4 linked regions of the Canis lupus familiaris genome follow. The protein of the gene in region 1 purifies or fractionates together with the protein of each later gene. This does not show direct contact. Links are inferred from orthologs where the notes say so. Each region holds a gene or a part of one and is shown on either strand. Other genes may lie near its edges.

Evidence for each region. Proteins that work in one complex are often made in the same cells at the same time.
Region 2: the proteins of FBXW11 (region 1) and DEPTOR purify together in Homo sapiens (affinity purification with western blotting; 4 studies listed by BioGRID, with this or other methods). This does not show direct contact. The link is inferred for Canis lupus familiaris from reciprocal best matches to the Homo sapiens genes FBXW11 and DEPTOR.
Region 3: the proteins of FBXW11 (region 1) and HNRNPDL purify together in Homo sapiens (affinity purification with mass spectrometry; 3 studies listed by BioGRID and IntAct, with this or other methods). This does not show direct contact. The link is inferred for Canis lupus familiaris from reciprocal best matches to the Homo sapiens genes FBXW11 and HNRNPDL.
Region 4: the proteins of FBXW11 (region 1) and EZH2 purify together in Homo sapiens (affinity purification with mass spectrometry; 3 studies listed by BioGRID and IntAct, with this or other methods). This does not show direct contact. The link is inferred for Canis lupus familiaris from reciprocal best matches to the Homo sapiens genes FBXW11 and EZH2.

What each region holds. Positions count from the first base shown.
Region 1 is NC_049225.1:41,240,046-41,245,682, reverse strand, and holds part of FBXW11 (F-box/WD repeat-containing protein 11), read right to left. Parts: intron 5,011-5,637; coding exon 4,892-5,010; intron 2,791-4,891; coding exon 2,680-2,790; intron 1,560-2,679; coding exon 1,481-1,559; intron 431-1,480; coding exon 269-430; 3' UTR 245-268; intron 1-244.
Region 2 is NC_049234.1:19,243,548-19,249,693, forward strand, and holds the start of DEPTOR (DEP domain-containing mTOR-interacting protein), read left to right. Parts: upstream 1-2,479; 5' UTR 2,480-2,668; coding exon 2,669-2,787; intron 2,788-3,519; coding exon of another isoform or gene 3,520-3,614; intron 3,615-6,146. Other genes in the region: reticulon-3-like, read right to left, coding at 3,520-3,614. UniProt on the Homo sapiens protein: Negative regulator of the mTORC1 and mTORC2 complexes: inhibits the protein kinase activity of MTOR, thereby inactivating both complexes. DEPTOR inhibits mTORC1 and mTORC2 to induce autophagy.
Region 3 is NC_049253.1:33,591,953-33,598,337, forward strand, and holds the start of HNRNPDL (heterogeneous nuclear ribonucleoprotein D-like), read left to right. Parts: upstream 1-2,718; 5' UTR 2,719-2,909; coding exon 2,910-3,352; intron 3,353-4,148; coding exon 4,149-4,317; intron 4,318-4,409; coding exon 4,410-4,571; intron 4,572-5,059; coding exon 5,060-5,191; intron 5,192-5,339; coding exon 5,340-5,454; intron 5,455-5,961; coding exon 5,962-6,132; intron 6,133-6,385. Other genes in the region: ENOPH1 (enolase-phosphatase E1), read right to left, coding at 1,699-1,782. UniProt on the Homo sapiens protein: Acts as a transcriptional regulator. Promotes transcription repression. Promotes transcription activation in differentiated myotubes. Binds to double- and single-stranded DNA sequences. Binds to the transcription suppressor CATR sequence of the COX5B promoter.
Region 4 is NC_049237.1:1,578,544-1,584,830, forward strand, and holds the start of EZH2 (histone-lysine N-methyltransferase EZH2), read left to right. Parts: upstream 1-2,620; 5' UTR 2,621-2,675; intron 2,676-6,287. UniProt on the Homo sapiens protein: Polycomb group (PcG) protein. Catalytic subunit of the PRC2/EED-EZH2 complex, which methylates 'Lys-9' (H3K9me) and 'Lys-27' (H3K27me) of histone H3, leading to transcriptional repression of the affected target gene.

The sequences.
Region 1 (5,637 bases):
CAGTTTTAAAAAACAGGAACTACATCAACTGCCGATGTGAAAACCCACAATATGTAGGATGCCAATTTCGATCTTATTTTAGTATGACCATAAAGATCTAGCCTGACACTGGAATTCTGCAACGCTGAGGCACCTAATAAACACTAACCACCTTGGTTCCTATCAACGGGAAACCCAAATCACAACACTGCCCCAAAGGGAAGGTGAATTCAATGAGCAAGGTTAAACATGGGGAGGTACTCACCTGAAACGGGTAAAGTGCAGACTGTTATCTGGAAATGTAAGTGTATGTTCTGGAGGGAGAACGGGTCTCGTTCTGGGCACTGGGAGGCACATTTAAGAAATCCCAAATCAAAATAGTGTCATCATGGGAGCTGCTGATGATCTGAAATTCATCAAACTGTAGCCGGAACACACGTCCAGAATGTTCCTGTGAAATTTAACAGCTTGATGAGTAAAATGAAACCTTTAGAATCCCTCGTATCTCATGATCAGTGATTTGGTGCAGGCTGAAAATGTAGCTACTTATCCAATGCTTCCTAAATAATATTCCAGAGCTTACTGAGCTTTGTCCTTTACCCTGGGAGCAAATACCTTGGCTTTTCCTTCTAAGCCTTTTTTTTTTAATTAATCTTTGTATCGGAGATCCTGGCTCATTAATATGTTGAAGAAAAAAACTATGCGATCACTTCGCCAAGGATCTTGGAAAGGTAAACAACCATATTAAATACCCATGCATGATACACTGTAAAAAGCAGAGCCAGAAGGATGTTTTTAACATTACCAAGAATATCTCAACCACAGCCAAAATCAAAATTAATGGTGAAACAGAAGCATTCTCATTAAAATAAAGAAAAGAAAAATAGTCCTAATCACAGTACTGCATGTTCTAATCAGTGCAAGAAGCAAAAAAATAGAAATAAAAGGTAAAGCTACTGAAAATAAGAACAAGTCTATCAATATTTTCAAACAACTGTCTCCTCATTAATGTAACAAAAGCAACCAGACTATTAGAAATAATGAGCCTGCCAAAGTTGCTAAAACAAGATTAACACATAAAAATAAGGTATTTTTATATGCCAAAGCAATAATCCATACAATATAGATTAAGGGGAAATTCCATCATAATACAAACATGTGCTATATTATAAAAATATAACGTAACCAGATACCCATATTAAGAAATCTCCCAAATCTACAGGAAATACTTTGTACTCTAGAGGAAACCAATCCACCTACAAATGAGGATGCCTGCTTTCACATATTAAGTTGTATTAATGCTCCTTGGGAAAGAGCTCCCTGTAATGTAAATGTCAGTTATTCTCTGCTTTTGGCTAAACAAAATGAACAAAACAGCGCATTTCTCTGAAGGCACACTGTGATGAGATACACAAGCTTTCTTGTGATACACCTAGGCAGGTCTATCTGCAGGTATCATCTTCCAGGGCAGGAACCACTCCCATTTCAACAGATTACATACCACCAATGTGCGCAAACACAAAGTGCTTGCTGGGGCTCGAGGGTCAAGAGCAGCTTGCAAGTCCCAAACTTTAATTTTCCTAGAAAATAAATGGAGATTGCGATTAGTAGAAAAGTTAACAACATTTCATATACCGTCAGGAACTTCCTTGATAGAAAAAAGTACATCTGAACTGCTATTAGAAAAGCTAATGGAGGGATCCCTGGGTGGCGCAGCGGTTTGGCGCCTGCCTTTGGCCCAGGGCGCGATCCTGAAGACCCGGGATCGAATCCCACATCGGGCTCCCGGTGCATGGAGCCTGCTTCTCCCTCTGCCTGTGTCTCTGCCTCTCTCTCTCTCTCTGTGACTATCATAAATAAATAAAAATTAAAAAAAAAAAAAAAAAAAAAAAAAAAAAGAAAAGCTAATGGAGACTGCTTATGTCGTAACAAGTCATTTAAACCATTTACACTTGATTTTGAAAAAAAAAATAAGGACCTACACATTCTCGGAATTATTGAAACTGTGAAGAAATATTTTTTAAGGGAGATGAGAAAACAACTTCAGGCTATCTAAATTCAGTTCCTGACCTGATAATCTATGTCACCAAATTCATTAATCAGAGGGCTTTCTGGAGCTGAGTAGGTGCTGCTGACAGAAGCTAGGACTCTCTGTGAAATTCCAAGGATACCTTTCTTCGAACTAAGCAAAGGAGTATAAACAGACCAACTAGTCCATTTGTGAAGTATACATAAAGTCACCTTGAAAGGTTTACAGTTGCCATTTGCTCATTTAAAAAGTCCTGAGGCTTTTTTAAAAAAGAGTGTTTAACCAAAGGGTAAAGGAAATGGACCACTGAACACACACACACACACACACACACACGCACGCACACACAGCTAACTTAATTTAGGACTGAGGCAAAGAATGGAATTCCTGTACAACCTAAGCTACTTACAAAGTTTACAATAATGGTTACACTAATGGTTAAAAGTGTAAGCATAGGAGTTACAGAAGCTATCCTACTGTAAGACTTGGGGCAAGACCACTCATCCTTCTGGGCCTGAGCGGCTTCACCTGATCAAGTGGTATAATAACATCTGCCATCCATTACACAGATCTAGCACAGAATTGGCACATACATAGTTGCTTAATATACAGCGCTTGTTTTTCCTCTAGATACAGTGATAGTAGTGTATTTAAAAATTTGAAATACATACCCATCATAGGCCCCACTGACAATCCTCTTGTTATCAAACCGGATGCATCGGACCAATTCTTCATGTCCCTCTAGGACTCTTAAACAGGCACCACATTCAATATCCCATAGCCTTGAAAGTAAAACAGATCTCTGTGAAACAACTTCCCACACATGATTCACACTATCCTTGAGTTCTTCATGTCTGTCCCATTCATGATTTTCACTCTCCTGAACTTGTTTCTATCTTCACTCCCAGTCCACATTATACACGTAGAAAGATACATATGTATATTTAGATCATTTGTATATTTTAAAGCACTAATTTGGCGGACACAGGGCTAGCTGAGTCAGAAGAGCATGTGACTCTTGATCTCAGGGTCATGAGTTCGAGCCCCATGTTAGGTGTAGAGAATACTTAAATAAATAAAAACATTTTTTTTTTTTTAAAGAGACTAAATTGGGTAGAAGCCTTCTCATTATATTTCCTTTTATTCAGTTTTTTAATCACATGCATGTATTACTATTCTTTTAATTTTTATTCGGCATTCTTTTAATGTCTGAATTGATGAAACCACGTAGCTAAATGGTATAACAAGGACTTTCCTGGGGGAGACAGGGATTGCAGGCAGTAAAGAGAAAGAAAAGGCATGTGTGTGGGTTGAGGAGAGGATATAGTATGTACAGCCAGGGGTGTTAGGCTTCCAGGCCAGGCACTTCTGGCCTGGAATCCATGAGGCCTGCTAAAGTTAGAACCAGTACACGAGGGGCACCTGGGTGGCTCAGTGGTTGAGCATCTGCCTTTGGCTCAGGTCATGATCCTGGGGTCCTGCGATCAAGTCCCACATCGGGCTCCCCATGGGGAGCCACCTTCTCCCTCTGCCTATGTCTCTGCCTCTCTGTGTCCCTCATGAATAAATAAATAAAATCTTTAAAAAAAAAAGAACCAGTTCATGAGCATGGAGGTTTCCCTCTCCTGATGAGGCTTAGGGACACCCCCTCTTAGATGATACTGCATATTAGGGTTGTCCAGTTTATGAGGTCATAGTGGGAGCCTCTTATTAGGTATATGAAGCATCTCAGAAATATAAACCCACACAATATCCAGACTTTTTCTTGGTGTATGATTTATATGTGAAACTGAAATTTTCACATTTTTCTATCATTGGTTTTCCTACATTGTTTGCAAAAAGAAATCATAAGCACGTACAAAACAAAGTTAGCAAACTAATTCTGTAACAACCTTTTCTTAGCCTCTCTACAAGTAGCTCTTACCATCCGCCCCATGAATATTTTATGACAGCCACCCTCAGCAAATCTTCTCATCAGTGTCAGGGACACTGGCTTCTCTAATCTACTGTGAACAGTGTCATTTAGCACTACCACTGACTCCAAAGTGGTCCCCTCTATAAACTGTAAAGGAATACACATTATCACTTTGTAAAACCTCAGAGAGTCCAGTGAGAAAGTTAAGGACTGTCTACTGCTGAAATAGTTAAGTAATAGAAAGCATCAAGACTCAGGTTCTCATGGTACTTTCATAATACCTTAAAAACTTAAAACGATAAAACTCACAGCAGTTTCGGCTCTATCATTGTGGTTTCATTCCCTCCTTCCTTCTTTTTTTTTTAAACCAATCTTTATTTTGCCCAAACATTAAACAATTTGGTTAGAAAAAAAGCCAGGACAATGGAAAAATGACTAAGGATTAGTAAACAGATATTTAAGATAAATATTATAAAATAATATAACAAAGATTAAATATTTAAGATTTTTTTTAATATTTAAGATATTTAATAAAATGTTTAAGGTCTGTCATATTTACTAGAAAGCAAGGTCACTGAGTGTTGGGAGATAAAATACAGGCATAACAGGAGTGGATGATCCTGTAGCACAGTCTTGTACAAGACAAAGTACGCTCGTCCCATGTGCTAGTGAGGAAGAGAGGAGGTACAGGTAAGGGAAAGTGGTGAGTCAAGCCAGAGCATCCTTTGTTCTGAGGGGTTTGGGTATTAAGGGATCTTGGGTGGAGCAGACGTTATAAAACATGTGTCTTGGGGGAATCAGTTTATCTGCTTCAGTATGCAGAGCCAAACAGATTAATAAAAGTCATATACAGTTTTCTTACTTGAAGTATCCCTGAAGGTTCAAAGTCTTTCGAACATCAAGACTGGGAGGAGTCAAAAATATGGCAAAAATCGGCCTGCTCTGGCAGCACACCAACTTCTACCCACCTTATGGTATTATCTGATGATCCACTAACAACCAGCCGATCCCTGTACTGGAGACAGGCAATGCCTCGCTTGTGCCCATTCAGAGTACGAACAAATTCACAGGTACTTGTGCTCCAGACCTGTATAATAGATTATCAGTATTTTAAGAACAAATGCAGAAAAGTCCCCTCACAATTCACCTTTTTACAAAAATCAGAGCTTCTGAGAATGACCAAAATACTTGACTATGAAATATGATTTGGGGGCTGGGGGACAGATTGGCCAGCATACAGTTTTCTTGGCTGTGGAGGGATAAAACAGGAATGAAACACAGGGAAGCTGTGAAGTCTCCAAACCTTGAGATATTCACAAAGAGAACATCTCCTGGATGGTTCAGACATTCACTTGCCTAGAAGGAAGAGTGTGGGCCAGATTTTATGTTTTCATGCCAGCTGACATGTCAAATCCAATGTAACTGATGTGAAAAAGTTTCACCTTTCACATCCTCCTCTTTTCCAGCATAGTTGCTTGAACAGCTCCATTTGTTTTGACACATCACTCCTAATATTATGTATGTGGAATAAATAATCCCTCTTTTGTGAAACCATCTGCAAGACTTAGATGTTCACAGACACACTTAATATATTACAAGCCAAATAAGGAGATGCAAAGCAACCGAAGTGCCCTGAATTATTTTACCAGCTGCATTTGTAGTTGAATGGGATAACTAGATATCCACATGCAAGAGAATGAAGTCAGACCCCTAA
Region 2 (6,146 bases), on another chromosome or scaffold:
TTTATTTTTCAGATAAAGAAAGTTGCCTAAATGTAAATGAAAAACACAACTAGGGATCCCTGGGTGGCGCAGCGGTTTAGCGCCTGCCTTTGGCCCGGGGCGCGATCCTGGAGACCCGGGATCGAATCCCACGTCGGGCTCCCGGTGCATGGAGCCTGCTTCTCCCTCTGCCTATGTCTCTGCCTCTCTCTCTCTCTGTGTGACTATCATAAGTAAACAAACAAAAAACACAACTAGATTTAAAGGAAGAAAAAAAGACAATCAAGAGTAGTGATGATTTACAATACATAGCCAGAGCTTTTGAATAAAAATGTTGAGCGATAGATAATGAAGAATTTGTAATACCTTAATTTTTTCATTCTGCACTTTCAAAAAGCTTAAAATCATCAAATAAAAGAGAGATTTAGGGTGGCCAGGTCTGTACTTCTCCTTCCTTCATTTTCAAGGCCTACTAATAATTTAAAAATTAGAGATAATGTGAGAAAAGGTGTTTTACCTTGCACCAAAAACTCCTCCTGGAAAGTATCTGACAAGAATTTCTTCTCCTTCTTCTCTTTCCTCCTCTTTTTCCTCCTCCTCCTCCTTCCTTTTCTTCTTATTAAAACCAGTAAAGAGGGATCCCTGGGTGGCTCAGCGGTTTAGTGCCTGCCTTTGGCCCAGGGTGTGATCCTGGAGACCCAGGATCGAGTTCTGCATGGGACTCCCTGCACGGAGCCTGCTTCTGTCTCTGCATCTCTCTCTCTCTCTCCCTATGTCTATCATGAATAAATAAATAAAATATTTAAAAAAATAAAAGCAGTAAAGATATTAAAGAGAACTTTTAAACACATATTATGTACATGAAAGCTTCACACAATGTTATTAAGCCACACAACATCCATATAAGGTAGGAATTATTATTCCTGTCAGGAGATGGAGGCTCTGAGAAGGTAAGCAGCACATTCTATGTTATACAATTAAAACGTAAGTGACAGCCAGCTGTTAAGCTCATTAATTCTGGGACCTCTACTTCTGTTAAATGATTTTTTAAAATATTTTATTTATTTATTCATGAGAGACACAGGAGAGAGAAAGGCAGAGACACAGGCAGAGGGAGAGGGACTCAATCCCGGGACTCCAGGATCAACCCCTGGGCTGAAGGCAGCGCTAAACCGCTGAGCCACCTGGGCCGCCCTGTTAAATGATTTTTATATATTATACAGAATGAAGCTCTTAGAATAACATGCATTTTGAACTATGTCTTGCTTGCTCTACACTTTTGCCATGGTTTATTTTAAAAGTTATAAAAGTTAGATAATTTCTCTTGTGAAAGAATTGCCTAATTGCTATCGTCGAATTTATAAGGGAGTTGGACAATTGTTCTCTTTCTGGAGTATGGTTGAGCATAACCTTGAGAGTCTCCAGACCTAGGGCTCAAGGGCTGCCTAACGGACTTTCTAGGTGTGAAATCTAGGCAGATCACTTCACCTTTGCATGTTTAAGATTTTCCAATTGTATGTTGACAATAATAATACCCAACTCTCAGGGTTTTTGTGAGGATAAAGTAAATAATATAAAGTGCTTAACAACATATAAAGCACACAATAAATGCTCAATGAATTGTTGTAAATTTTAAGTAATGATCTTGTAGAATGTTGGAAAAGGCTACAGTGATCTTTAAAAACAAATGACAAGAAGAAAACACAACAATAAAATACAATAAGCCTGAAGGAGAGTGGGTATAAACAGTTTTGAGTAGAATTGGTATAAAATATACAAAGAAAATCATTTGTTTCTCCACAGCCCTCCCATTTTCATTTTTTATTCTGTAGACTTACAACAAATCTGCAATTAAAAGATTGTCTTTCCATATAGTTTTCACTAAAAGAAAAAAAAATCCCATATACCTGTAAAGGTGCAGAGACGTATATATATATGCAAAAATTGTTAAAAGCTGCATAAAACCTCAACACACAGATACCCCTTTACTCTAATGCAGTAGATGTCAACAAGTGGCAGCCACAATTATCTTTATTTTGCAAAAGAAGAAAATGAAGATGAAGCACATTTTGGTAGGAAATTACAGGCGCGGAGCCGGATCCCAGGTCTGCCTGATTCCCAGGCCCGCGTTCTTTATTGATTACGCTCTGAGGTTAGGAAGCTGCCTCTGGTGCAGGGGGATGGGGACGAGAATGCCTAATTTCACCCACCGCTGCGGTGACGTGTGGATCCTCCAGTGCTCACTATTTAGCTATTTTGCTCGTGTTTTTACTCGGGCCATTTGGAGCACAGACAGGATGATAGCAACACCTTTACGCCTGTCACCTCCTGGCCTGTCCGCAAGGCCCCGCCGCGCGCTCGGAGGGGACGGCCCCGGGCAGGTGGCCGCCGGGGCCCGCAGCCCCCGCCCCGCAGCCCCGGAGCCCCGCCCACATGTTTATATTTTGCTCCCTCGGCCCCGCCCCCGGCCACGCGGGGCTCCAGCCGCCGCCCCCGAAGCCCGAGTCCCAGGGGCGGACCAGCCTCGCGCTCCAGCCCACCCACCGGGATTCCCTCCGCAGCCAATCGCGGCTGAGCCGCCGGCCTGCCCCTAACAAAGATGGCGGGGGAGGCCTCCGTAGGGGCAGGCTGATTTAACACCCAAACCCGCGGCGGCTAAGGAAGACAGTGGGAGCGACGCGGCGCGAGCATGGAGGGCGGCAGCGGGGGCAGCGGCGGCAGCGACGGCAGCACGGGCGGGAGCGGCGGGGCGCAGCAAAGGGAGCTGGAGCGCATGGCTGAGGTCCTGGTCACCGGGGAGCAGCTACGGTAAGGCGCGGGGCGGCGCCGGGGCGCGCCCGGGGGCGCCGCCAGCCCGTGTCGGCAGCAGCCCGGCGCGCACACGCGCTGGCTCGGGCGGGCGGTGCGCCCCTGCCCGGCTGCTGCAGCCCGGCGCCCTGCGGTCTGCACGCGCGCAGGGGAGCGGGGGTGCGCGCTGCGCCTCGGCCGCCGCTGCAGCCCTGCGCCCCGCGCGCGCTCCGCCGGGCACCTGCGCGCTGCCGGGCCTCCGGGCTGCCGGCCGACCCCTCGGGCGTCGGGAGGGCGAGGGGCTGGGTGTGCGCCCCAGGCGCTGCAGCCCTCCAGCCTCCTCGACGAGAGGGCCAACCCGGCCATTGCCTCCACTCGGGGCTTTCCACTTGGCCGGCAAGCCCCGCTGCGCTCCTCCGACCCTCGGCGTTTGCATCTGTAAAATGAGGCTGATCGCCCGGACCCCCTTGACGGGGCGTTGTGTGTGTGTGTGTGTCGGGGGGGGCGCTAAACCCCAGGTTCGGAAAAACACCCAGCACTAAATCGGCACGGCCTCCTCCGTCGTCGGCCGGTCCGCGAGGGGGCGTGGAGGCACCCTGTCCCGGCGCCCTGCAGCCCCGCCAGCTCCGCCAGCGCACAGGTTTTGCAGAGCAGAGTCCACAGGCCCCGGGCTGCTGCAGGAATTAGGAAGCGACCGGCCTCACCGCACCCGGGACAGGCAGTGAACCCCAGATCCCAGCCCCCTCCCCTTACCGATTCGCATCCCATCCTGGCCATCCTTGGATTGGTGTTTGAGTAATGGACTTCTGCGGTCTGACCAGTTCCGCAGCTGCCCGTCGTACGGTCATAAATCAGTTTGCCGTGGGCTGGGGGGGGGGGGGGGGGACTGGCTCTGAAGCCAGTTTGAGCTGCAACTTGCGTGCCGGCCCCTGGCCCAGCTGGAACGGGGCGCGTGCCCGTTCCTTCTGAAGCTTGGCCCGAATCTCCAGGCTCATTTTGGTTTCTAGACGCTCAGTTTCGGGACCTGAAGGAGAGGTCATCTTTGCAAAGGGTCTATGAAGGTTTAGTAACCACTTTGCTTGCAGCAGTTACATTGAGGAAGTAAATGTTGGAAGTTAGGGTTTGTTGAGTTTAACGTTATAGAAGGCAAATTGCACTCTTCAATCCCTCAATGATTTTTAAATGCGTAATCAAAATTAAAGGGAATAAAGGCTTGCTTTTCCTTCATCAAGAGTATTTTCTCATTGAATAAAAATTGAAAGCTTTCCTGATTCAATCTGAAACATTTGCTTTTTAATAATTTATTTGCTTCTCATTACTGTATCCTCTTTTTTGAAGACCTCAGTTGGGTACTTTTCATTTTTTTTTTTTAAGAAAGATTCATTTATTTATTTGAGAGGAGGAGAGGGGCAAAGGGAGAGAGAAAACAGACTCCTCGCTGAGAGCCAACCAGTCTCACCACCCTGAGATCACGACTTGAGCCAAAACCAAGAGTCAGACAACCAACTGGGCCACCCAGGCGCCCTGCATTTCTTTTAAAATAACAAACTGCATGGTGCCTCTCTTTGACCAGTAAGCACGTAAGCCCTCAAGAGGCAACTTGAATGCCCCTTCTTTGGAGGGTCTTCAGTTGTTATTCCCCTCTTCCTGTACTGCAGTAGGGTTGAGGGCCACGCTTAGCTTGGTGGAAAGAAGAAAGGAGGCTCTCTCTCTTTCACTCAAGAGTTAGACCTGGGTTTGATTTTCTGCTTAGCCACTTTGTAGCCAGTGGTCACCCTTAAGTTTCCAAGACAGCTGCTAGAGTGAGTCCTGGGTTTGCCCTTTACAGAAGCTTGAGACCATGAACAAGTTACTTAACTACGAATGCTGGGTAATAATGGAACCCACCTCCTAGTGTTATGAGGATTAGATGAGTTAGTGCTTAGAACAGTGCTTGGGGGCGCCTGGGTGGCTCAGTCCGTAAAGCAGCTACATTTGGTTCAGGTCATGATCCCTGGATCCTGGAATGGAGCCCCACGTCCGCTGAGCAGGGAGCCTGCTTCTCCCTCTCACCTCCACTGGTGTTCTCTTGCTATCTCTGTCTCTCTCAAAGAAATAGATAAAATATTAAGAAAAAAAAAAAAAAGAACAACAGCACCTGGTATATAGTAAGCACCATGTCCGCATTAGCTATTATAGCTCTGTGACCTTGGACAAGTTAACTCACTTCTCTGAGCCTTTGTTTCCTCATCTATAAAGTGGCAATGAAGATAAGCACTTCATGGGGTTGTTGTGGGAATTTGCCCTTGAGCTTCTGTACTAATGAGCATTCAACAATGGTTGCTGGAATTAATCAGTATTATTGGTTTATGCATGTCACCACATGTGACTTTCAGCCAAGCGAGATCTGCCAGGAAGGATTGGGTGGTGGTTAAGAACATGGGGTATAGAATCAGGCTGCCTGGGTTCTTACTTGCCTCCACCATTGTTGAATAGTTCTGTGACTTTGGGGTCAATTTACTTAATGCTCTGTGCCTGTTTCCACATCTCTTGCAAGAATATTGTGAAGATTAAATGAGATGGTCTATGTGAAGGGCTTAGAAAATTTTGTTTACGATTTAAATTTACTTTGTAATCATTGCTTTTTAAGTCTCAACCATGTTAGCACTGGGTCTAGCACATAGTTATTACTCAATACATATTTGAGTGACTAGTAGTATACATGATTAAATATGCTACAGTACAGATGATATGTTCAGAATTTAGGGATGTAAGTATGCCCTGGCTTCTTGTTACTGGAGGAACCTCTCATGAAGGGGTGGGGATGCAACCATCCTCGAAAGCCGTGTCACAACACGTCCTAACATCCTGAGCTGCTGTGACTGGGGGGACTTCATGATGTGCAGGCCTCCTACCTGTTTCGCATACAACTCCCTTTTGTCTTCCCTTACTTTCCCATTGCTTTCTTGATCATCAGAGATGAGGCAGATGAAAGTGATGAGAAATGGGGACACCAAGGATTGGGATTTGAAATAAAAAATTTGGCTTCCAGGCCCAGCTCTGTGCATTTTATTTAATGCTTATTATATAAAGACACTTTAATATTCATGAAACACATGTATGTATATACGTATGTACATATTTTTAACCATATTCCCTTGACCAAGTCAGCCACTCTGGGCCTCAGTCTACCTGCAGAATGGGAATAGTAATATCCTTCCACATAAGATTTGTGGTGTTGGATCAAATGGGCTAGAATGTGGGAGGGAACTTTGTAAAATAAATCATAGACCCAGATTAGTTCTTGTTGGTCTGATTATTGTAAGCTCCAGCTATGAAACTGAGGGCTGGCTCTACAATCCTGACACTTTGAAGGGCAGTTGGCTGTCTAAGGACGTGAA
Region 3 (6,385 bases), on another chromosome or scaffold:
AAAATTGATTTGCATAAGATATCCTAGATATCCTCTGCCTGCAGAGGCCTCTGGTGTGATTAAAAACTGAGGAAAAAAAGTCAAACTAGATTTCCTAAGAATTTGTGCTAAGATGGTATTGTAATTCTCTAAAAAACTTGTAAGTGAAAAAAATAAAAAAAAAAAAACTTGTAAGTGGTTGTTATATTGGAGTCCTAAAAGTGTACAGATTTTAATCCACAGAAGAAAATCCTTATCACAGGTAATTTTAAAAATAAAACTTTTAAAAATTTAAGACTCAGACTGCTCAATTTGTTGGAAGACGAGTTTTTCAACTACGTTGTCAACAGTATCCCTACTATTATTGTATGCAAACCCTTCTAGACAATGCTTTCATCTTAAAACTCTAGAAGTCAAAGCGTAGATTAGACCTGAGAATTTTTTAAATTATATTAATATTTGATATCTAGGGGCGCCTGGGTGGCTCAGTGGTTGAGACTCTGCCTTTGGCTCAGTTTGTGATCCCAGGGTCCCGGAATCGAGTCTCTGCCTCTCTCATGAATAAATAAAATCTTAAACATTGTTTTGATATTTATTCTAATAGAATATAGGTATTTTTTTGAAGATTTTTTATTTGTTCATGAAAGAGAGAGAGAGAGAGAGAGAGAGAGAGAGAGAGGGGGGGGCAGAGGGAGAAGCAGGCTCCATGCGGGGAGCCTGCTGCGGGACTCGATCCCGGGACTCCAGGACCACATCCTGGCTAAACCAGTGAGCCACCCGGGGCCGCCCGAATATAGGTAAAATTTTTTAAAGCCCAGCTATAACGCAGAGCTCGCGAATAAGCCTACGAAGTAGGTGTAGACAGTTGCTTGGTTAATAGTGACGCCCTAGGATAGAGGCTTTGGGCAAGAGCTTCAAGTTTCCATGATTTTCAGAGAAAAATGAACGGAATCTAGACCTTTTTGTGCTACAGGCTAATGAATCAGCGTTCCACAGTGATTAACAGTCCAATAACACGAAGAGTGCTACTCGGCCATTACCAGCAGGAGTGAAAAGGGGCGAGTCAGCCGGGCTACCTGAAAAGTCATCTTGAGGGGATCCCCGGGTGGCGCCGCGGTTTGGCGCCTGCCTTTGGCCCAGGGCGCGATCCTGGAGACCCGGGGTCGAGTCCCACATCGGGCTCCCGGTGCATGGAGCCTGCTTCTCCCTCTGCCTATGTCTCTGCCTCTCGCTCTCTCTCCGTGTGACTATCATAAATAAATAAATATTAAAAAAAAAAAAAAAGCCATCCTGACACTCCCGTCCACGTCTTAGGGACTGGAAGCCTCCAGGCCCCCGCCGCCGCCGCCGCCGCCGCGCCGAAGCCAGCCCAGAGCCCGGCGGACGCAGCGCACCTGGCGGAGGGGGCGGGGCGCCCCGTCTCCCCACGCGGGCGGGTCTGCCCGCCGCCGCCCCCCTCCGCCAGCCACCATCCCGTCCCCACCCGCGTCCCACCCATCGGCATCTGACCGAGAGCAGGGGCTGGCGACGAAGGGCCTATCCCCGCAACCTGCCGCACGGCAGCCTTTCTACTCCCTCCCCCCACGGCGAGTGCAGCGCCACGCCGCCTCTCCCACGCCTTAGGTCAGGTCTCTGGTCCAGGGTGGGCAGCACTTAAAAGAAAAGAAAGAAAGAAATGTTTTTAATTGCTTTCAAGCACCGCTCCCTTCCGCCCCTCACCTTCACGAAAGCAATCGGGGTTGTGGTACCTTCGACATCTAACAGGATGACGGTGACTTCGGCGGGCACGGGAAGCACGACCATCTCCCTGCCGGATGCAAGCACCGGAATCGGCCTACTAGCGGGAGGGCGGAGGGCGGCGCCCACTGCGCCCCGACACGGTCCTGGGCTGCCCACGGCCCCGCGGGAACGTGCCGCCCGGCACCCGCGTGCGGCCCGGAGCACGAGGGGCAGGGCCGCGCCGCCCAAGGCGCACAGCACCGCGGCACGGGCGTCCGCCGCCACCCAGCAGCCCGGGCCCGAGGCCGACACCACGTGGGCGGGGGGAGGGGCGGCCTCGCGGAGCCCGAGCGGGCGGGGGCGGGCACAGGCGGCGACGCCGATTGGCCACCAGAGGGCCCCGAACGCGGCCCGTCCACGTGGGCCTCGCGTGGGCGGGAACAAAGAAGCGAGCGCGGGAGCCGGGTGCGCGGGCGCGCGCGCGCCCTCCGCAGACTGGTGGAGCGAGCGGGAGCGGCCCGGGGCACGTGCAGACGGGAGCCCCGCGAGTGGCGCGCCGGGGATGTGAGTGCCCCTTGCCCCCTACGGCACCTACCCCCTCCCCGCCCACCGCCTCCGCTTTGGCGTGTTTACAGTAACCGGGCCGGGCTCGCGGCCCTCCTCCCGCCCGCAGCCTGCCGGAGAGGCCGTGCCGGGGCCGGGACTGGGACTGGCCGGCCTGACTGCGTGGGCCCGGGCTCCGGCCGACCGGCTGCGGAGGCCCCCGCGCGCCCGCTTCCTGCTCGGCTGGTTCCAGCCGGCTCGAGGACGAAACACGCGTGCGCGCGGCGGGCGGACGGGCGGGCGGGCGCGCTCGCTGTCTCGGCCGCCGGCGCCGGGCGCAGTCCGCCTGTGTCGGGAGCAGCCCGGCCACGGTGCTAATCGAGAGCAGCGGCCGCCGCCGCCGCCGCCCCCGCCGCCGCCGCAGTCCGCACTGGGGGACCGAGGGCTTTGGGAAGAGGCGGGGCTGACGGCTCTTTGCTAGCAGTGGGCTGGACCGGACGCCAGAGACAAAGGCTCTCAAGACCGGAGGGACGGTGGCCCTGCGACGGCGCTGCTCGGACTCCTGAGCCCGGGACTCTTCGCCCCTTCGTTTTCCTCTTCTGACGCTTCTCTCCTCTTAAGCCCGCGCCCCCTCACCCACGACCTCGCTCCTCACCGGGAGGGCCGCGATGGAGGTCCCGCCCCGGCTCTCCCATGTGCCGCCGCCATTGTTCCCCTCCGCTCCCGCGACTTTAGCCTCCCGCAGCCTTTCCCATTGGCGGCCGCGGGCGCCGCGGCAGCTCGCCCCGCTCCTCCCTTCGCTCGCTTCCAGCTCGGCCCGGCAGGGGGCGCGCCGGGCCCAACGCCACGTCACCGCCCAGCAGCCCTCCCGATTGGCGGGCGGGGCGGCTATAAAGGGAGGGCGCAGGCGGCGCCCGGATCTCTTCCGCCGCCATTTTAAATCCAGCTCCATACAACGCTCCGCCGCCGCTGCTGCCGCGACCCGGACTGCGCGCCAGCACCCCCCGGCCGACAACTCCGCCGCCATGGAGGACATGAACGAGTACAGCAACATAGAGGAGTTCGCAGAGGGATCCAAGATCAACGCGAGCAAGAATCAGCAGGATGACGGGTACCGCACGCCTCTCTCTTCTTTTCCCCCTCCCCCAGCGCGCCGCACGCGCCTTTCGTCCCTCTGGAGCCGCGCGCTGCCACGGCTCTTGCCCCGAGTCGATTCCCCGCGTGCCCGCTGGGCCCCACTCGCTCAGAGGGAAGAAGAAAGTAGGAGACGGAGGGGGTGACTCGAGAGGCCCGCGGAAGGTGGGGGAAGGGCGGGGGAGTTGGAGGAGGAGGGCGGCGGCGTCCGTGTCCCGAGTGCGCAGGCGCCGCGTGGGGCCCGAGGGGGAGGGGCCGGCCTCGCTGCGCCACATGCTGCAGCTGCCGCCGCCTTTTCATTGTGTCTGTATCGGGGCCCCCGCACGGCTTCCCTGCGGAGTGTAGGGAATCCTTGCTTTGGGAATCCGTGTGTGACTGGTACCCGGATCTCCTTCAGAATGCGTTGGGAGTTCTTGAGGTGGAACGTTGCTTTGACAGCTGCGGAAGAGGTAGAGTAGACCTAAGTTGTGAGGGATCAACTTTAGGAAGTTGGGTTTATAAGGCTGAAGCGATGTTGAATATGCTTTCTTGGCTTCGTTGAAACTTCGTATGACGAGGTGTGGTGAGCAAGCTGTCCATTCGTTGTTTCGAATAAGTGACCTCGATGGAATCTGAGGGGTTTTGTGGTCTTTTGTTCATACGTGATCTGTAGACACTGAATTATTTGCACACGCATTGCTTCTTCCTGTTCGTTTCGTAAACCTAATTCCCCAACTGAGGTAATCCTGCGGGGTGCTGCTAATCTTTTTTTTTTTTAATAACTTCATTTCTAGTAAAATGTTTATTGGAGGCTTGAGCTGGGATACAAGCAAGAAAGATCTGACTGAATATTTGTCTCGATTTGGGGAAGTTGTAGACTGTACAATTAAGACAGATCCAGTGACTGGAAGATCAAGAGGATTTGGATTTGTGCTTTTCAAAGATGCTGCTAGTGTTGATAAGGTAGGAGCAGGTTCCGCATTGTGCTGCTTCTGTGTTTTTGCAAATTGGGGGTTTGGTTGTATATTGTCAGATTAAACGCACTTGTCTTCTAGGTTTTGGAACTGAAAGAACACAAACTGGATGGCAAGTTGATAGACCCCAAAAGGGCCAAAGCTTTAAAAGGGAAAGAACCCCCAAAAAAGGTTTTTGTGGGTGGATTGAGCCCAGATACTTCCGAAGAACAAATTAAAGAATATTTTGGAGCCTTTGGAGAGGTGCGCTGTGTTTTTATATGTCTTTCATACTTGGAATGTTTATATACATGAGTGTTCGTCCCCAGCCTTTTACAGAATTGATTGATTTGTCAGGTGATGGGAAGAGGTTAAAATTAACTGCTTGAGTCCCTTCTAGTCACTGTACCTTAAATTACTGTTTTCTGTGCTGTGATAGAAACCAACATCTAATTTATTTTGGCCAAAACACGGGTGCTTTGGAGGTGGTGGTCAGTATTTGGAATTAATAACCAGTGGCATCTCTTGGGTACAAAATGATAATAAATGAAGTTTTGCTCTCTAACTGCTTCACAGATGAAGCTTTGTGGTGTGATACTGATAATAAAATAGGTGTTTCTGTACAGAAGTAATCTGACTAGAGGAATAGACAACATGTTATACTGAAGTTTGAAAAGAATCTTTGGAATTCTAAAACACTTTGGTAGCTTTTACCATTACTGGATGATGTTGAATGTGCTTCTTGATTTCAGATTGAAAATATTGAACTTCCCATGGATACAAAAACAAACGAAAGAAGAGGATTTTGTTTTATTACCTATACAGACGAAGAGCCAGTAAAGAAATTGTTAGAAAGCAGATATCATCAAATTGGTTCTGGGAAGGTAAAGCCATTTTGTTTTTATTAAGTGAAAATTTAGAGGATGTTTTTTGTTTTCGAATGTGAGATTTCTCAATTTATGAGAATAGAATGGCTTGACCTTACAGTAAAAACTCCAGGTTTTTTTTTTTTTTTTTCTTATGTGTATATAGTGTGAAATCAAAGTTGCACAACCCAAAGAGGTATATAGGCAGCAACAGCAACAACAAAAAGGAGGAAGAGGTGCTGCAGCTGGTGGACGAGGTGGTACTAGGGGTCGTGGACGAGGTGAGACTTAATCCTTTGGGACCTAAATCTTTGGATATGACTCCCCATGGTTTAGGCTGTAAACTGCTAAATAGGAATAAGCCCATAAGAAAATTCAGCCAGATTTCCAACATAAAAATGCTCTCATTGGTGGGTGGGTTTTTGTTTACTGGTTTCGCCTCCTCAAAGAATGGCCACTAGGACACTGTCAGTGTCCTTACTAATGGCAAGGTGATGACCATTTAATGTAGTTGAGATTACATGATACACCATGGCATGCTAGTTTTTTGGGGGACAGGAGTCCTTGTTTTGTCTTGATTTTCCTTAAATTTAGGAAGCTTGATAACTGGCACAATTGGACTTTCTGCCCCCTTTTTAACCACAACTAGAATAAAAACTTTCTCAGGTAACAATATAGCTGTCCATTCCACCTGTTAAGGGTTTTCAGAGTGAGGGCCAGGAACACAACATTGTATTAGGATTGGGAGTCAGAAGTCGTTTCCTAACAATCATTGTGCATTGTTTCAGGTCAGGGCCAAAACTGGAACCAAGGATTTAATAACTATTATGATCAAGGATATGGAAATTACAATAGTGCCTATGGTGGTGATCAAAACTATAGTGGCTATGGCGGCTATGATTATACTGGGTATAACTATGGGAACTATGGATATGGACAGGGATATGCAGACTACAGTGGTAAGAATATTTAACTTAATCTCATACACCAATGGTATTAGAATTCCGTGTTAAAGTACATTCTCGTTCTGAAATTGGGGGGGGGTCCATTCTTGAAGTGTTTTGGAGTTAAGTTTTTGAGGCATCTGATAGTCCTAGGTTGATTATCCTAATGTAGATATTTTGGTTGTTAGAAACGTTTTAGAATATGTGTTATGTGATTAGTTTATAATGGGCATTTAATATATCTGCTATTTTAATATTTGGCATGCAG
Region 4 (6,287 bases), on another chromosome or scaffold:
GACCTGCTGGTAGTAGCACAGCTGTAAGCTGAGCACCTTTACAGAAATGGAAAAGCTTGGTGATGCTCACCCTTCACGTTCACCTCATGATCAGCTTGGCTTTTTGCTTCTTTAGGCCCCCTCTTTAGTCACCCCGATGGTGACTAGCATTCACCACCCTGCCACGCACACATGCAGGCACACGCACATTGTCTTGCTTTCCCTGCTTGGAATCTTCAGAAATTTATTCTTAGTATGGAGAACAGACTTCTCCCTCCCAACTCTCCTGTATTTGTCAATATACAAAACTGAGTTGCAGCACACTGTATGCCCTCCATATATGATGAAATCCTTTGGCAGTGTTTTCAAATTATCCCTTTCTCCTGCCATCACTGTGACCTAAAGTGTCTTGCTTAACTGAGTAATGAATGTCAGCACTGAAGTAAGTATTGTGATCCACCGGTGTCCCTACTTCCTGCTCCAAGTCAGCCTGCATATTCTATTTAGCTTAAATATGTATCATAAACATACACATTATATTTAATACAGCCTCACTTAACTCTAATGGACTCTCTTACTCTACCAGTTGGAGCTCTCAGCTTTAATTCTGGGAGTAGATTTTCATTTCCATCTCTGCTGTCCTCACTGCCTCCTCCATCTAGAGCTTATGCTTTCTTCAGGGTCCAAGTAAAACTTCCTGTTCTGAGATTTGTGTGCATGTGTGTGTGTGTGTGTGTGTGTGTGTGGCAGTGGAAGCACCTTGATCCAACATCGTTCCTTGATTCTAAATGCCCTAGCGATTCCTATGACCTTTCACACTATGCTGGATGTGTTCATATAGGTCTTTGATTCGCTTTCTGATAACCTCGGTTAATGTTATTTTCTTGACCTTTCTTTCAATAATGAGCACATTGTTTTAATATTTAATAGAGTACAGGTAAAGCTAGTAACTTGACAAGCAATTTAGGGATAAGTAGTTAACTTCTGAGGTTTAAATTGCTGTTTAAAAAGGGAGTTGTAAATCGCTGGTCTAGATGGGAACCTTTCACCTCGGAGTAAGAATGTATTGGTGGCTGTTGGGTGTTTGGTAGATGGATTTTTGCGTTATTTCACAGTTACATCTCACATGCACAACCTACTCTTGCACTTATTCTATGTTCATAACCGTGCTTCCATTTGGGCACACGGTTATTTTCCTCTGTGGCTTCCCGCCGCATGTAATCCTGACATTGAATTGGTCGGGAATACAGCTGAGCAACTGGACGATGATTTAGGAAAAGGTGGGAAAATTATGGCTTAAATCACCAGACCAAGACTTGAGTCATTAAAAAGTCTGAGCTAATTAAAAAAAATCATACATATAATATATAATATTATGTTAATATATTAAATTTACTATTAACATAATATTATATTAATATATGATAATATATTACAATATTATAATACTAAATATACATATATAAAAGAAACACGGTGTCCTTAGGGTTTTAGACTCAACAGTTCGTAGGTGACCCGGGGTCTGACTCTCAGCATGGAACCCCAGTTCGCATGAGTGATGTTCGCATCCTACCACTGCACAGTTGCATCCTATAACTAACTATATAACTGCGTCCTGCTAAATAAATTCGGCCCAATCTTGACTTCCTCGACAGACGAGAGCCAAAGGGGGAGGAGACTGTGCCCTAAAACCCGACACGTCCCCGATTCCTCCCGGTGCGACAAGGTTTTCCTCCAAGATCACCTAATGATCATCGAAAAGGGTTTTCGTTTTCCAGAAGCATTAGCAGGAGGCGAGGGAACCACAGCGGTCCTTGAGCAAGGATTCTCTTTCATCTTCCCTGCACGCCGACACGCGCGCTGCCAGGGTCCGGGCTCGGCGTCTGCCCCGGGCCCAGGTGCGGGGCGCCCCTGCAGCCCGGGTCTCTAACCCGGTGCGCCGCCCCCGCCCCCGCCCCCGGCCCCACCCCGGCCCCGGCCCCGGCCCCGCGCTCCCCGCCCGGCCCGGCCCGGCGCGCGGGGAAAAGAGCGCGGCAGTTGCAACCGTTACCACCCCCGAGTTTTGAACTGGTTCAAACTTGGCTTTCGGCCCCGCCCCGCCTCTCGGGCCCGGGAACTCCGAGGCGGCGGTTCCCGCCAAGCGCCGCGAGCGCGCCGTCCCGCCCTCCGGCCGGTTCCCGCCACCCCGCCCTCCCCGCCCGGGCCCGGCGCTGCGCAGGCCCCCGCGTCCCCGCCCGCCCGCCCGCCCGCCTTCCCGCCTTCCCGCCTTCCCGCGAGGCGCCGTGCGTTCCGCCAAAGAACAAAGAAACGGCGCGGCGCTTCCACTCGGCGGCCGCGTCCCTCAGCGCCCGCCCGCGCCCGCGCCCGCGCCCGCGCGCACGCGCCGCCCGCCCGGCCCGGCCGAGTCCCGCGGGCGCCTCTGCGTGGGGCTGGCGCGGCGCCTCCGAGCCCGGCGGGCCCTGTGATTGGACGGGAGCCCGCCGCGGCCCGCCAATCGGGGCGGCGCTTAGTTGGACAGGGGGGGCCAAATAAAAGCGCTGGCGATTGGGCTGCCGGGTTTGGCGCTCGGTCCGGGAGCGCCCGACACCCGCTGGGACGCAGAAGGCGGTGGGGCCCCGGCGGCGGCGGCGGCGGCGGCGGGAGCGGCGGGAGCGGGAGCGGGAGCGGGAGCGGCGCGGGCTGGGCGCGGGGCGCAGGTAACGCGCCGCTGTCGGGCCGGCCGGCGGCGGGGCCCTGGAGCCCGGCGGGGGGCGGCGGCGGCGCCGGGACATCCCCAACGCCGCGCTGCCCGTGCGGGTGTCGCCCCGAGCGGGGTGTCGCGGGCGCCGGCGCGGCGGGCGGGGGGCGCGGGGATGCCGCGGGGCGGGGGCGGGAGCGGGGGCGGGGCGGGGGCCGGGCGGGGGCCGCGGGCGCCCGAGGCGGGGGGCGGGGGCGGGGGGGGCGTGCGGAGGGGTCGTCCGCGGGCGCCGGGCTGGCTGGGCTGGGGGCGCCCGCCGTCCGCCGTCCGGGCGCGCGGGCTCCTTTGTGTGGAGCGCCGCGGCGGGGCGCCCGGGCGGGACGGGGCGCGGGGCGCACACAAGTTGGTGGGACCGCGCCGCCGGGCGCGCACGCAGACAAAGGGCGGCCGGCGTCTCGGGGCAGCCCCGCGGGCCTGACAGCGGGCGGGGGCGGCGCGGGGAGCCCGGCGGCGGGCGCTCGGCCCCTCGCCTCTCGCCCCGCGCCCCCTCCCGCGCCCCGCGCCCCCTCCCCGCGCCCCGCGCCCCGCGCCCCCTCCCCGCGCGCGGGCCCGGCGAGCGGAGCCGGGGCTGGGGCGGCCGCGCGGACGAGGCGGTGCCGGGCCGCCCTTCTCCTAAGTTTGCGGGCAGGGCAGGGCCGGGCAGGGCCGGGCAGGGCCGGGCCGTCCGCCCCGTCTCGGCTTCCTGGGCCTGCGGGGTCCCCTCTCGCCCTCCCTCCCCTCCCCCGTCTCCTCGTCCCCACGGAGTCCGTGCCGCGGGGTCCCTTTCGGGAAACGGGACGAGCCGAGGAGCGTGCTCTTTTCGGAAAACTTGGGTGAACTCGGCGCGTCTCGGGGAGTTCCCACTTTGCAAAGAATCGCCGTCCCCAAGAGAGAAAAGCAGCCGCGGGCCGCCCTGGCCAACCGGTGGGGTGCGTCGGAGGGGGCGGCAGGTGCCGAGGAAACCCGCTGCCCCGCAGGCGGCCGGCCCCAGGCCCCGCGGCGGGACGGCGGCGAGCACCCTGCGGGCGGGCGGAGGGGCGGGCGGGCGCGGGACCGACGCGCGTCTGGAGGCTGACGAGCTCCTTCCCACGGACGGGTCTTAACTTCCCCCGAACAATAGGTTTGGGGAGGCAGGAAAGCCTGGACGCAGACAGCGTGTGTCGCCTAAGAAACCCAACGTGTGCTGCCCGCAGTCAAGCTAAACTTCCTTTGTTTGCAGCACAGGACCCGTAAAACTTAAAAGATCCGTGTGGAAATAACAACCCGGCTCTGGAATTGAAAAGTATTCCACACGGTTTGCTTTCTTGGTTCCGGAGCTCAGCGGTTGCATTCTTTGGCGTTTGAAAATTACCTAAAGCAACCTTTGGGGAAGAAGAAGAAAAAAAAAATCTTAAAAAAAAAAAAAAGTCCAGTGCTCGTACGGTTGAATTATGATCTGTACTTCTCTGGGGCTTTGGAGGTGGTTTTTCATCACTCTTCTTTCCGTGAGCATTAGCAACTCTTTTTCATATTTAGGAATAAAGTGGACAGGTGTTCAGAGCCTGACCACTTTATTGATGATCTTATATGCAGGAAGACGAAAATGGTTGAGATGTATCTTGATGTTCTTTTCGTAGGGTCTAAGTTGGGGCTAGATGGGATTCTAGTCCTATGTGTAAAGATTCCTGTATGTGTTTTTGTAGACCGATCAGGATACGGGATGTTTAAACTCTTGGAAACTTAGGAAAATTGCATCTTCCTTTCTGATTTTTGTGGAAACCGAACATATTCAAAGAAAAGGAATTTAGAGACCCACAGGCACTCTTCTTTATTTGCGTTCTGATAAAGAGCTAATGTGCACCTACTGTCTTCTGGTTGCATAAAAATGGAGACAAAAGAAACGCAGTGTGAAAGTCTTTATTACGAATATTTTGCAGAGACTGTTGGACACCGTTGAACGGACGTCCCAGGTGCTGCCTCAGGGTTGAGATGCTTAAATGATGTTTAGATTTAGTTGCTGATAATTATCTATTAAAAAGTCCTGATAGTTCTTGCCCACTGTTAGGAGATGAGTTATGCAGATCTTGGCAGAAATTTGGATCTTTTAGGATAAATTCTAGTTTTTCCCTTGTGTATTCTGTAATTGATAATTACTGTCCTTATACGTGCCACAAAAATTTTTTAAAAAGCCTTTTTGGGGCTTTGGCTTAGATTTTTTTTTTTTTTCTGGTTGAATTGTGAGTATATACAAGTCACTTTTAAGTAGCAGTGATTAAAAAAAAACACTTGTTGATTTAGGGCAAAATAAAAGTTCTGAGACATTTATGATAGACATAAAGAGAGAGAGACAGAGACAGAGAGGCAGAGACACAGGAGGAGGGAGAAGCAGGCTCCATGCTGGGAGCCTGACGACAGACTGGATCTGGGGACTCCAGGACCGAGCCCTGGGCCAAAGGCAGGCGCTAAACCGCTGAGCCACCCAGGGATCCCCAGTTCTGAGACTTTTATGCCAGCTTTGGCTATTTAAAAATTTTAAGCAGATTTCTCCAAGTCCTAGTGACGTTTTTCTAGATTATCTGCCATCCCTTGAGCTGGCATGCTCAAGGAGTGTGAATTTCTGTATTGGCCTAAATAGTGATTAAGAAAGTTGATCTGCTTCTTAGAAACTGACAAATGAAGTTCTTCTAGCGTCTAATGTATTCTAAGGTCAATTAGAAATGATACACGGATTTGCCTTGGATTCTTTATGTCCCTACAAACGATGAAAACATTTTCTGTGCATTATGAAAGATTGCATATACAGGTGAAATCTTTCGGGGAGAGCATGAGTGGAGATGAACAGCTCATTAAATTCAGAGAGAGGTTCACAATCAGATGATACCTTTGCCTTCTAGAGGCCTTCCCCGAATTCCCAGGCACCCTTGTGTTCCACAGGGCTTTGTTCATACTTTTATTATAGCGTGTATCAAATTGTATTGTAATCACTTGTTTATGCATCTGGCACCTTCACTGCGCTCTAAGTGCTTTGAGGCAGAGGCTCTGTCTTGTTTTTCTTTGTATACCTAGTAGTTGCTGGAGAATAGAGGGTTTAATAGTTGAATGAAGGAAATATGGGGGAATAATTTGACAAAGGAACTTTGCAAAGCATACTACAGGTTATGTTAATGTTTATATTGTGATGGAACTTTGGAAGGTGTTTTTCTCCCTCTTTGAGATGCAGCAATTGTAAAGAAAAATAATCATCAATGTGGGTAAGTTTCAAGGTTTCTCCTAGTTGTAATACTCTAAGATACTCAAAATTCTATATCCTTTAGGTATTCTTTTGCTATTCATATTTGGTATTTCAGGCAGCTAGAGAGAAGCTTGATGAGTCGTCTGGATACCTTGCATATAGTATCTGCTTAATTTGATTTGATGTCAGTATTGATGGTCCTTGTCCAAAAATAAAAGGAGAAAGTGTCGGAGACAGTAGTAAATCTTTTAACTGAAAGCTGTCTAGTTAAAATTGATGAGTTCTTTACTGGAATAATTCGTGGTAGGTTTTGAAGCTAAAACTGAAGGAAGTAGTGTCAGCGTAATTACACATCATTTATTGGGATGTTCTTCATTCTTT